Caenorhabditis elegans: one gene and its partner. The protein of the gene in region 1 purifies or fractionates together with the protein of each later gene. This does not show direct contact. Each region holds a gene or a part of one and is shown in the gene's direction. Other genes may lie near its edges.

Region 1 (5,357 bases):
GTGCGCCTTTAAATAGTACTGTAATTCAAAACTTTAGCTGCTATCAAATTTTAATCGATTTTTCATACATCAAATTTGAATAAAAACTGAAAAATCGATGAAAATCCCGCATCAACGACAGTTTGACATTACAGTACTCTTTGAAGGCGCACGCCTTTTAGCATTTGACAAAAATTTGTCGTGTCAAGCTTGTCTTGATCAAGACCGGGTACCGTATATTAAAATTCGCAACGCTTTGCGTCTGAGTGATATCTGATTTTTTTAAAAATAAAATCTGCGAGTTCCAGGTTCATCGATTTCAAGTTCTTGTTGCCCTGATGCTTTCCAGTCAAACCAGAGATGAAGTCAATGCGGCGGCGATGAAAGTTCGAAAAATATAAATTTTGATTTCAAGCATTTTTTATATTTACAGAGACTCAAGGATCATGGCTTGTCAATCGGGAAAATTCTCGAATTCAAAGTACCAGACTTGGAGACGATTTTGTGTCCTGTTGGATTTTATAAAGTACGGTAACTCGAAATTTAAAATGCAAAAAGGTGTGCGCCTTCAAAGAGTACTGTAGTTTCAGAATTTGCGGAATTTTTATTGTTTTTTTTTCGGTTTTTTTTTTTCAATAAAATTGTTTACAATCAAGGGAAAACTGAAAAATCGATGAAAATTCCGCAGCAACGAGAGTTTGAAATTACAGTACTCTTTAAATACGCACATCTTTTTGTATTTACCAGAAATTGTCGTTTCGAGACCGGGTACTGTATTTTTGGTGTAAAATTTCGCATCTTGGTAATAATCTAAACATTTTCTTTCCAGAGAAAGGCCGTGTACCTTCAAAAGACTGCAAAAATTCTGAAAGATGATTTTTCTGGCGATATCCCTGATTCCCTGGACGGACTGTGCGCACTGCCAGGAGTTGGCCCAAAAATGGCGAATCTCGTCATGCAAATTGCTTGGGGAGAATGTGTGGGAATTGCAGTCGACACACATGTTCACAGAATTTCTAATCGACTCGGTAAATATTTTTTAATTTCATTTTAAAAATGAATTTTTGAATTTCTAGGCTGGATCAAGACCAGCACCCCAGAAAAGACACAAAAAGCGCTTGAAATTCTACTTCCAAAGTCGGAATGGCAACCAATTAATCATCTTCTCGTTGGATTCGGTCAGATGCAATGCCAACCAGTTCGTCCGAAATGTGGAACTTGTCTCTGTAGATTTACGTGCCCCAGTTCCACAGCTAAAAATGTGAAGAGCGAGACTGAAGAGGTTTATACCTTTTTATAAATAAAAGACAAGCGGATTTTTTTTCAGACTTCCACAAGTATCGAGGTTAAACAAGAAGTTGAGGATGAATTTGAAGATGAAAAACCTGCGAAAAAGATTAAGAAAACCAGAAAAACTAGAACCAAGATTGAAGTGAAAACTGAATCGGAAACGTAGCAAAGCAAGTGTCAAGCAGAAAATCGATAACTGATCTCTAACATACATTATACATGAATGAATAAATTAATGTTTTTATTTAAATAAAACTGGCAATTCATCTGGTTTCCTATGTTTCATGAAACACAGAAGATCCAATAAATCCATTATATAAATATTGATGCACTTTGCGCGTCATATTCACTGTCTGTACGTGAGCGTGTTTGCGGAATGTGAGGCGCGGGCGCCAAAAATTTTCAAATTTGAATCGCATCGTTTTACCGCATTCTGTTTTATTTCCATATTTTCATCCTTTTTCTATTGTTTTTTCTTGTTTTCTTCATAATTTTTTTTCATTTTGAAGAAGAAAACTGAGTTTTCCTTCTCAAAACATAATACTGATTGTCATATCCTTGTTTCAATGGTTTAAAATTTCAGTAATCCACTAACACCAATATGTCTAACCTCGACAACCCCGGAATCTACTATCAGGAACGATTCTTTGCGAATGACGGAGTTCCAGATACTGGAAGAGAGTTGATCGCTGAATATCGTCAGCTTATCACTCAATTCCGCAATTTTATCCGTGATTTTTCCACTGGAGGCTTCGGAATGATTTACAGGTTTGTGCAATTACTCTGATCAAAACTTCTCTCATTAACCAATTACAGAGATCAGCTGAAGCGCAACTACTTCAGCCATGAATATCGCCTTGAAATTAACCTGAATCATCTGAAAAATTTCGACGAGGACATTGAGATGAAGCTGAGAAAATTCCCAGGAAAAGTGCTCCCAGCTCTCGAGGAAGCCGCCAAAATTGTCGCTGATGAGATTACCACGCCAAGACCAAAGGGAGAGGAGAAGCTTCATGATATTCAAGTGACACTGACGCTTGACGAGTATCCAACCTCACTTCGACAGGTTAAATCTGCTCAGGTCTCCCAGGTTGTCAAGATTTCCGGAATTATTGTGGCTGCTGCTCAGGTATGAAAATCAAAAATGTTTAAAAACAAATCATATTAATTAATAATGTTACTATATTTTTCTTCAGGTTCGCTCTAAAGCCACTAAAGTAACCCTCCAATGTCGTCAGTGCAAGCACACAATTCCAGATGTTTCGATCAAGCCAGGACTTGAAGGATTTGCTCTTCCAAGAACTTGTGCAGCGTTCGTTATTCTTATTTAAAATGATCAAATTTTGAATAATTTCAGACCACAACAAGGACAAATGCAGCGATGCCCAATAGATCCATATATTATGCTGCCCGACAAGTGTGAATGTGTCGATTATCAGACTTTGAAGCTTCAGGAGAATCCAGAAGACGTTCCACATGGAGAAATGCCACGTCATCTTCAGCTTTTCACGGAGAGATATTTGACTGATAAAGTGGTTCCTGGAAATCGAGTCACAATTGTTGGAGTTTATTCGATTAAAAAGTTGATTCAAAAAAAGGGTGGTGACAAATCTCTTCAAGGAATTCGTACACCATATCTCAGAGTTCTTGGAATCCACATGGAAACATCTGGACCTGGAAGAACCAATTTCACAACGTTTACACCTGAAGAAGAGAGAATGTTCAAGACTTTGGCTCAGAGGAAAGATGCTTATGAACTTATCGCTAAATCGATTGCTCCATCAATCTATGGATCCGCTGATATCAAGAAATCGATTGCTTGTTTGTTGTTCGGAGGTGCTCGTAAGAAGCTTCCAGATGGAATTACACGACGTGGAGACATCAATGTTCTCTTGCTCGGAGATCCAGGAACAGCAAAATCTCAGTTGTTGAAGTTCGTTGAGCAAGTGTCTCCAATTGGAGTGTACACATCTGGAAAAGGATCATCGGCTGCTGGTCTCACTGCATCAGTTATTCGTGATCCACAATCACGCTCGTTCATCATGGAAGGTGGTGCAATGGTTCTGGCTGATGGTGGAGTCGTTTGTATTGATGAATTCGATAAAATGCGTGAAGATGATCGAGTTGCAATTCACGAAGCAATGGAACAACAGACCATTTCTATTGCAAAGGCTGGAATTACAACTACTTTGAATTCTCGTTGCTCGGTTCTGGCGGCCGCTAATTCGGTTTACGGAAGATGGGATGAGTCGAGAGGAGATGATAATATCGATTTTATGCCAACTATTCTGTCTCGTTTCGATATGATCTACATTGTGAAGGATACTCATGATGTTCTCAAAGATGCTGTAAGTTTCTGCAAGGATGCTCACGCACAGAAACAAAGAAGGGGTGCGCCTAGTGTGTCGTGATTAATTTCTGAATGATTTTACTGCATTAGCTTGCTTGCATGATTTTGGAACATTTTCGCTAATTTTTTTACAATTTTAACATTCGAAATGGGCAATATACCCCTGCTTTGCACAGAAAGCAATAATTTAAAAAAAAATGAAATCCAATTCTCTGCCGGGAATAATACAAATGAGGGGTATATTGTCCATTTCGAATGTTAAACATCTAAAAACCTTGGCGAAATCGTAATTCACAGTTGTGCACGGGTAGTACACGACGGCCGATTTTTTTGCCCAATAATTCTAAATTTTCAGCTTTAATTTTGAATATTTTCAGACCCTCGCGAAGCACGTCATCGAAGTTCATGTGAATGCATCTGCTGCTAAAGAACGTGATATTGCAGGAGTCCCAAAAACAGCCACAACTGATTCAGATGGTGTGATGACAATGTTCGATACGGATGGTTTCTTGACTATCGAGTTCCTCAAGAAATTCGTCACATATGCTCGTTTGAACTGTGGACCACGTCTTACTCCGCAAGCTTCTGAGAAGCTCGTTAATCACTACGTTAAGATGAGAAATCCAGTTGTCAATGCTGATGCTTTTAGTAAGTTTAAAATATCATTTTGTAATGAAAACCCATAAATTTTCAGAATCAGGAAAGAAGGCTCATAATTCGGCAATTCCGATTACCGTTCGTCAACTCGAAGCCATTGTTCGTATTGCTGAAAGTATTGCAAAGATGGAGCTTCAGCAGTTTGCCACTGACAAGCACGTCGAGGAAGCGCTCCGTCTGTTCCGTGTTTCAACAATTGAAGCGGCGGCAACTGGAAATTTGGCAGGAGTCGAAGGATTTACTTCAACAGCTGATCAAGAAGCATTGAATCGTATCGAAGTGCAAATGAAGAAGAGATTCGCAATCGGTACACACGTTTCTGAGCATTTGATTGTTCAAGACTTTGTTGCTCGTCAACATTATAGAGAGTCTCTTGTCAAGAAGGTTATCGATAATTTGGTCCGTCGTGGAGACTTGCAACAAAAGATGCAACGCAAGATGCTCTACCGTGTTCGATAAATTCTCAAAATTTTGTCTTTTTTATCTGGATCTCTTTCTCATACTCAATTCTTAACATATTTTCTCATTCAATTTGATTTTAAACTGTTCTAAATTATTAAATGAACGTTTGCTTTTTCGAAGACCTTGAAAAATAATCAAATTCTAGTTTATGATCGTGTCAAGAAAACACATCAGAAGATTTTCACCGCTCGTTTGCTAAATGATGGCATGCCTGCTTAAAGGAATATTTTTCCAAAGTTCTTCTTGAATAATTTGATTTTTGGCAAATGCCCCAACAATGGTGAACTTACTCAAGAAAATTTACTGATTCACCAAATAAACAAACAAAAATCACTTTAAGCCGAGTGTGAGGTTGGTAGCAGTAACTGAAAATTGTGGAAACCTAACCTAAAGGTAGTCTTCGACATAAGTTTCATTTGGAAGTCCGGGATTAGGTTGAAATACTTCCCTTGTAGCTAAGTACGGTATTATTGCAGGAGTACTGTAGGATTTGCGTAGTTTCGGAAAATTTGAATTTGAAAAAATGTTGCTATTATTAGGTTAGGGTTGGTGGTACTGTAGGGTTACTGTAGTTTGGGAAATTTAAATTTTTAGCATTTAACATGGGCCGAGAGTTGAG
Region 2 (7,131 bases), on another chromosome or scaffold:
ATTTCTTCAAATTTCCCGCATTTCTATTCCAATTCCAGATGAGACCCATACCCGCTCTGGAAAACCATGAACGTTGGCATCGAATTGACACCGTTCTCTGAGCTGGTTTTCTCGCAGATCTCCACATCAACTTTCAGAAAAACTGCTCCAAGATATTGATTGGACAGAGCTTCAAATGTTGGAGCAATCATTTTGCACGGTCCGCACCAGACTGCAGTGAAATCGACAATCACTGACTTGAGACCAGCGAGGGAAAGCTGATTTCTGAAGTCTTCGTCGTCTTTCACGTTGATAACTGGCATGGTGTAGGGGAGATGGGCTGAAAATTAATTTAATATTTAGATTACTGCACTTATTTTTTTAAGGTGGTGTAGTCGAATTTTTTTAAAATTGCTTCATTAGACTCAAAATTGTCTCAAAACACCGAATTTCATGATGAAACTGCTTGAAAACTTCTCAAAAAAAGTTATGACTGCTCAAAAAATGGCCTAAAATTAGTTAAAATTTGAAATTAGACCGACTTTTCAAGCGGCTAAAAACTACCTTTTTTGAAATCACCGTCAAATTTTGAGTATATATAAAATGTAATTATCTTGCGTTTTCAACTCGATTTAGGTATTTTAAAGTCGATGGACGGCGAGATTTGGTTTAAAAAATTTAAAAATCTCGCCGTCCATCGACTTCAAAATATCTGAATCAAATTGAAAATGCAAGATAATATAATTGTATACTCAAAATTAGACGGTAATTTCAAAAAAGTTAGTTTCCAGCCGCTTGACAAGTCGGTCAAATTTCAAATTTTAACTAATTTTAGGCCATTTTTTGAGCAGTCATAACTTTTTTTGAGAAGTTTTCAAGCAGTTTCATCATGAAATTCGGTGTTTTGAGACAATTTTGAGTCTAATGAAGCAATTTTAAAAAAATTCGACTACGCCACCTTTAAAATACGGATTTTTAATCGAAAAATGCAAAATAATCTCAAAAAATGGGAAAAATCCCCAAAATCTAAAGAAAAATTAAAGAAAAAAATTGGGTTTTGAAAAAAGTTGTTATTTTGTAGTTGAATTTGTTGAATTTTTCCCGCTGAAATTCCAATTTTTAAGCTTTCGCATCATTTTTTTTGGGATTTCTGGCAAAAGCTATTGTAAATACTCCCGGAACAATGCACGAATATATTTTAGCTATTTAATACGCAGAAATTGTGAAATTTCGTTATTTTTTGGGCGATTTCTGGGGAAATTTTGACCGAAAAATTGTAATTTCTGGGATCACCGCTTCCAAAATTGTTCAGTTTATAGTTCTAGGAGCAAAAGATATCTCATTCAGAAGAAAAAACGAAAAAAAAATTTCAAAAAATATAGGAATCACGCCAATTTAAATAATTATTCATTAAAAAAAAGATTTTTTGAAGGTTTCCACAGTAAAATGCATTCATTCTCAAACTGATTTTTGGGTAATTTTGGGCATTTTACACGCTAAAATAGGTGAAAAGCACTTTTAAACGCTCTGAACACAATTTTAATATGCAAAAAATAGTATAAATTCCGGAAAATTAAGAAAATCGGCATGAAACGTGGATTTGTCAGCATTCAAAATGAATGCCGGTGCGGCGAGGGAGTGCACGAAGCGTGGAGACGCAGCGGACAACAAACGCGCTCCAATGGACAAAAAGTGCGGGAAACCGGGACTGTTCAAAGTGTACGCTTTGTCTGTCGTCTCTCCCATTTATTTTTTGGTTTTCGCGAATAATTTCGCTGAAATTATTATTTATTCCTGATAAAAATGAGTTCCCGGGTGACTAGATCCAGGTCCCAGACTCCGCAGACTGCTGTAACCGACTTTTTCAAGGTAAATTGGAGTTTGAAGTTATGAATTGCAATTATTTAATGTTTTTTTTTCTTTTTCAGACCACCAGAAAACCGAGAGCAAGAGGAGAAAAGAAGATTATCGATGAAAGCATCACAAAGACCACTACAATTAAAGAAGTACAAATTCCTGCTGCTCCAATCGTCGAGAATAAATCCTCCCGAACTCGCGCTCGGACTCCATCCCGTCAAGCGGAATTATCGAGTTCCGGAACTCCGCCAAAAAAAGCTAGAGAAGCTGAAGCAGAAGCCCCTGAGCTTCCCAAAATCCATGAAGATATTATTCTGGAAAATCCGGCTCCTCAGAAGTCAGCGATCGATAAGCTAATGGAAGCATCCGGCCCAGCGAAAAAGAAGGCTGGAATTCGAACTGTTGCAGATTTACAAGCAAGAATAGCTGCAAAAGGAGCAGCTAAAGCGATTCATGAGCAAAATTTGAAGAACAAAACGAAGCAGGTCGATGATCACGTGGAATTGCTGAAATCTCCGAAGAAACCAGTTATTGTTGAGCATCACAAATCACCTCAGAAATCCAAGGCCGCTCGTAATCTGTTCTCACCGAAGAAGCCAGTTCCAGACTATATTATTCCCGGCTTTAATGTCCTGAAATCGGCCGAAAAAGTTCGCGGAGAGCAGGATGATGCTCACGAAGAAGAGGGAAAACGAATGACTGCAGAGTTTCTGAAGAGCTCACGGCTTATTGATGAAGTTAAGGAGAGTGCACGTCAACGGATTGAACTTCCAACTGCGTATGAACATCTCGCTGATACTTTCAAACGAATCGATCAGATCACTGCGATCTTTATCGGTCAGAATCGAAGCTGTGTGGTTCCTGAGTTGATCAAGAATGTTAAGAATACGTCTGGAAAGGATTTTTCCAATGAACATTTGTCACAAATTCTTCATGTATATCCTCAATCATATCATATTGAGATGCGTGAACAGCGAAAAGCATTCGGCCAGGGCGGGAAGTATGAACTTGAGGTTCGACCGAATCTCGTGGAAGGTTCGTAGCTTTCGGTTGGCAATTTGCAATAAAAACATTTAAAAAATCAGCTATTTCTGACGTATTCCATTAAAATTTAGTGTCAGAAAATAGAAAAAATATTATATTAATCGTAAAATAGCATTCTTTTAAGTTTAAAAAGACTTATCGATTTTTCTTCTCTGTTTGATCACCTCCACACATTTTTGAACTCGAAAATATTTAACGATTAATAAAATATTTCTCTATTTTTTAACAGACCCTATTCATGCTCCTGATACTGATTTTTGATGTGAAAATTTTTCAAAAAATTCAAAAAAAAAGCCCTGGTTTTATATTAATTTTTGGAAATTCTAAAAATACTAGCTTTGCTCAAAAAAAAACTGAAAAAAAACACAATTTTCTCTTCAAAAAGTAAGAAAAAACACAGCTTTTTACCAGATGTTCGAAAAAAAAACTTTTTTGTTTAAAAAATCCAAAAAAAAAACAATTTTTTAGTAAAAAAATTCGAAAAAACTCAATTTTAAGAAAAAAATCCGGGAAAAAAACACCGTTTTTTAGTCATAAAATCGGAAAAAAGATAATTCTTTATTCAAAAAATCCGAAAGAGCTCAATTTTTTAGTCATAAAATCCGATAGAACAGCGTTTTTTGTAAAAAAAACCGAAAATACCGAATTTTTATTCAAAAAATCCGAAAAAAAAACACAATATTTCAGTCAAATAATCCGAAACAACGCTATTTATAAATTGGAAAAAACACCATTTTTTGTTCAAAAAATTAGAAAAAAACAATTATTTTTAATTTAAAAAATCTGGAAAAAACACAATTTTAAGTCGAAAAATCGAAAAAAAAAGACACATTTCTTTAGTCAAAAAAATACGAAAAAACACCTTTCTTGTTCAAAAATCCGAAAAAAACGCAATTTTTTAGTCATAAATGCGAAAAATACGCAATATTTTAGTTTAAAATATCTGAGAAAAACACAATCTTTGTGGCCAAACATTGAAAAAAACACCTTTTTTTGTTCAAAAAATCCCAGAAAAACGCAATTTTTTAGTTATAAAATTCGAAAAAACCCCAATTTTTAGTCAAAAAAAAGTTTCCTGCTTACAAAAAACCTTTTTTTTTGCAGATCTACGAGGCTACATTTACGAAAAATCCCCCACCGACGGCGACACCGAAGATCTTCCACTAGTCTGCCCATCAAAGCTGCTCTCCCCAAAGAAAAGCCCCAGAAAACAAGTTCAACCGGCTCTCCGAAAGCCAGAAGTCGACGGGAGGATTCGCCTGGACGCTGCTCGTCAAAGAGACCGAGCTCATGTTTTCCGTTATAAGTTGGCCTCGATTGTCACGAAATGTCATACGGAATTTTTGGAATCTCAAGGATTATGTGCTTCTTCGAATATTAAGAGAATGCATCCATTATTCCGACTTGACAAGCATTGTCCATCACTGCCGCAGGTGAAACTTCCAGAACCTCCTCTACAGAAATCATCGATTCATATTGGAATGAAAGAAGCTTTAGATAAATATATGGATCAAGTATCTCTACCATCATTTGTTCAAAAAGCTTATCAAGACTTAAAATCTCCACTGAAATCAACTACAGGAGCATCTGGAACAGTTCCAATCTCGCCGAAAAAGTTCTCCGAGATGCAAAAAGAGCAGAAGAGCCAGGGAGCAATGTCACTTTTAGAGCGTATTCGTGCGAAGGAAGCAATCAAAAAGGCGGCTGAAGCTTGTATTGATAAGGATCTTGAGAGAAGAAAGCAACGTCTAACACTGCTCCGTGACCGATATGTTCGAATTGTGTGCAATCATTATACGGCGAAACGGGCTCAGACGATGGAAATTGATGTGATTTGCAAATTTGTGCAGTTCAGCTCGTCCAACTCGTCTTCGATTCCTGATATTATGGATCATTTGAGATTGTTGTGTGAGGTCGCACCGATGTACATCTCTGAAGCTAGTTTAATGAACAAAAAGTTCGTTTTTTCTCGATTTTGAGCCATTTTTGCGAATTCTTTTGCATCGAAATCGAAAGAAAAAACTTGAAAATTGGATGATTTCGGCGAACTTTAAAAAATTGTTTTCAAAAAATGTTGAAAATTCGCAAATTTTTTGAAATAAAATGTCTGAAAAAATGTTTAAAATTCATTGAAAAATCGGAAATTCTCTTAAAAATGCTGAAAACTCTAGAAAGCAGCAAATTAGTAAAAAAAAAATATCAGAACATTTGCAAAAATGGGAATTTTCAGAAAATTCAACTTTTTTTTTGAAAATTAAAAAAAAATCTCGATTTCGGGTCATTTTTGCAAATTCTTTTGCATCGAAATTGAAAGAAAAATCAATCTTGAAAATTTCGCAAGTTTTAAAATATAATTTTCCATAAATTCGCGGTGGTTTTTCAGAAATTTTTGAAAAATATCAAAGAATTTTTAAAAAGTTATGAAAAAAATCGGAAAATTTGATTTTAAAAATTTCTTTGTCTCGATTTACGCAGACGGTGTACTCCACGAGGAGAAGAGTAGTTTTTGGATATGGTGCTCGATTTTGTATGATTTCTGCAAATTTTTTTTCTTTTAAAAATTCGTCTGAAAATTTTTGAATTTTTTTAAAAATTCATTGAAAAATCGGAAATTCCTGAAAATTAGCAAAAATGTTTGGAGATTTTTAAAAAATTCGAAAAAATTGTTTGTAAAAAATCCTGAAAATTCCCAAAAAAAAAATTATGACAATTTTCTGCGAGAGTTTAAAATATTACAGATTTTTTTAAATTTTGAAAAATATCTAATATTCTCGAAAAATTCGCCTTGGAAAATTTCGAAAAATTCATTTTAAAAATAGGAAATTCAAAATTACTACTTTAGCATTAAAAAAATCATAAAAATTCTCCAAATTTTTTAGAAGTTTCCAAAAAAAAAATCGCAAAAATTAAATTTGTGGTTTTCCAACAATAAATGGACCAAAATCAAAAATTTCCACCAAAAAAAACATAACTTCTCCTCGAGGAGTACACGAGCTCCGTAAATCGACACAGACATTTGTGAAAAAAATTACTTGAAAATCGTAAAATTTCAACAAAAAAAATTCTAATTTTTTTCCAGATACTTCCGATTCACCGACAACAACATTGAAGCAATCAACGAGTTGCTCGATGAAGAGCTCCAAATTACTCAGAAAAAGATTGATGAGCAACGAAACACCCAAATTGCACAAATGAGCCACCACCACACACCACGGCCATCCAAAGCAGCAAGATCTCTCAAATTTCATTAAAAACTAATTTCTAAGCCATTTGTAACTAATTTTCTCACTTTTCTCTCATAACATTCCTGCAATTTTTAATTTTTTTCCAAAGAATTTCCAGAAATTTCAAAGATTTTTGAGCATTTTTCGATTTTTTCACGAATTTTCCGGAAAAAAATCGGAAATTTTTCAATACAATTCTCCAAAAAATTCCCGAAAAATCACAAAATTTCCACTATAACTTCTCGAAAATCTTTGTAATTCCTGAACATTTTCAAAGAATTTCTAAAAATTCTCAATTTTCCAGAATTTCTTTGAAAATTCCTGAAAAAATCGGAACTTTTCCAAAAAATCCGTCACTTGTAACTATTTTTCTTCTCGTTTTTTCTCTCATGCTCTGTACCATTTTCCAATTTTTTTTCACTTTTTTCCAAGTTATCACTCTTGCAATTTCAAATTTAAAATTTCAAATAAATCAAAACGTTATTTAGAAAATTAAAATGGAATTAAAATTTTTATTCCAAGCTGTTATTCATTTTCAGCGTAAAAATTATTTTCCGCTTGGCGCATTTTCGGTGCATTGCTGGCGCATTTCGCGATCCGTTTTTCAACCGTTTATGTATTTTTCATCATTCTTCAATGAAAAACTAAATTTTTAAAACAAAATTCAATTTTTCTATAATTTTTCAATTCAGAAAATGCTCAGTAATCGCCTCGTTGGCTTTCTTTGCTCCCGGTCATTCACAAAATGCACAAGCCTGCCGAGCCGATTCACACGTGACGGATTACGGGATCGATTACGACAGCAGGAGCTCAAAGAGCTCACGAAAAATCATCAGATTAAGCAGGCGTTTAGTCCAGACGCTAGAACTGTCAGGCCGATGTCGGATTTGTGGAAAGTACGGGATTTTTTATTTTTTAGTTGAAAATTAGTAAAAAAATCAGTTTTTTCGGCGAAAATTGAAGTAGAAAAGGTTTTTTTTTTGTGTAAAAAATATCAAAAATTCATTGAAAATTGAAAGAAAAAGCG

What was found. Proteins that work in one complex are often made in the same cells at the same time.
Region 2: the proteins of mcm-5 (region 1) and cdt-1 fractionate together in Caenorhabditis elegans (co-fractionation; one large-scale study listed by BioGRID). This does not show direct contact.

The regions. Positions count from the first base shown.
Region 1 is NC_003281.10:4,287,762-4,293,118, reverse strand, and holds mcm-5 (DNA replication licensing factor mcm-5), read left to right. Parts: upstream 1-1,852; 5' UTR 1,853-1,870; coding exon 1,871-2,037; intron 2,038-2,085; coding exon 2,086-2,398; intron 2,399-2,465; coding exon 2,466-2,581; intron 2,582-2,626; coding exon 2,627-3,617; intron 3,618-3,996; coding exon 3,997-4,267; intron 4,268-4,313; coding exon 4,314-4,735; 3' UTR 4,736-4,855; downstream 4,856-5,357. Other genes in the region: nth-1 (Endonuclease III homolog), read left to right, coding at 288-365, 413-505, 809-1,007, 1,056-1,261, 1,307-1,435. UniProt on the Caenorhabditis elegans protein: Acts as a component of the MCM2-7 complex (MCM complex) which is the replicative helicase essential for 'once per cell cycle' DNA replication initiation and elongation in eukaryotic cells.
Region 2 is NC_003279.8:3,222,619-3,229,749, reverse strand, and holds cdt-1 (CDT1 Geminin-binding domain-containing protein), read left to right. Parts: upstream 1-1,645; 5' UTR 1,646-1,782; coding exon 1,783-1,848; intron 1,849-1,907; coding exon 1,908-2,871; intron 2,872-3,984; coding exon 3,985-4,837; intron 4,838-5,959; coding exon 5,960-6,131; 3' UTR 6,132-6,590; downstream 6,591-7,131. Other genes in the region: txl-1 (Thioredoxin-like protein), read right to left, coding at 52-302; rom-5 (rhomboid protease), read left to right, coding at 6,800-7,000.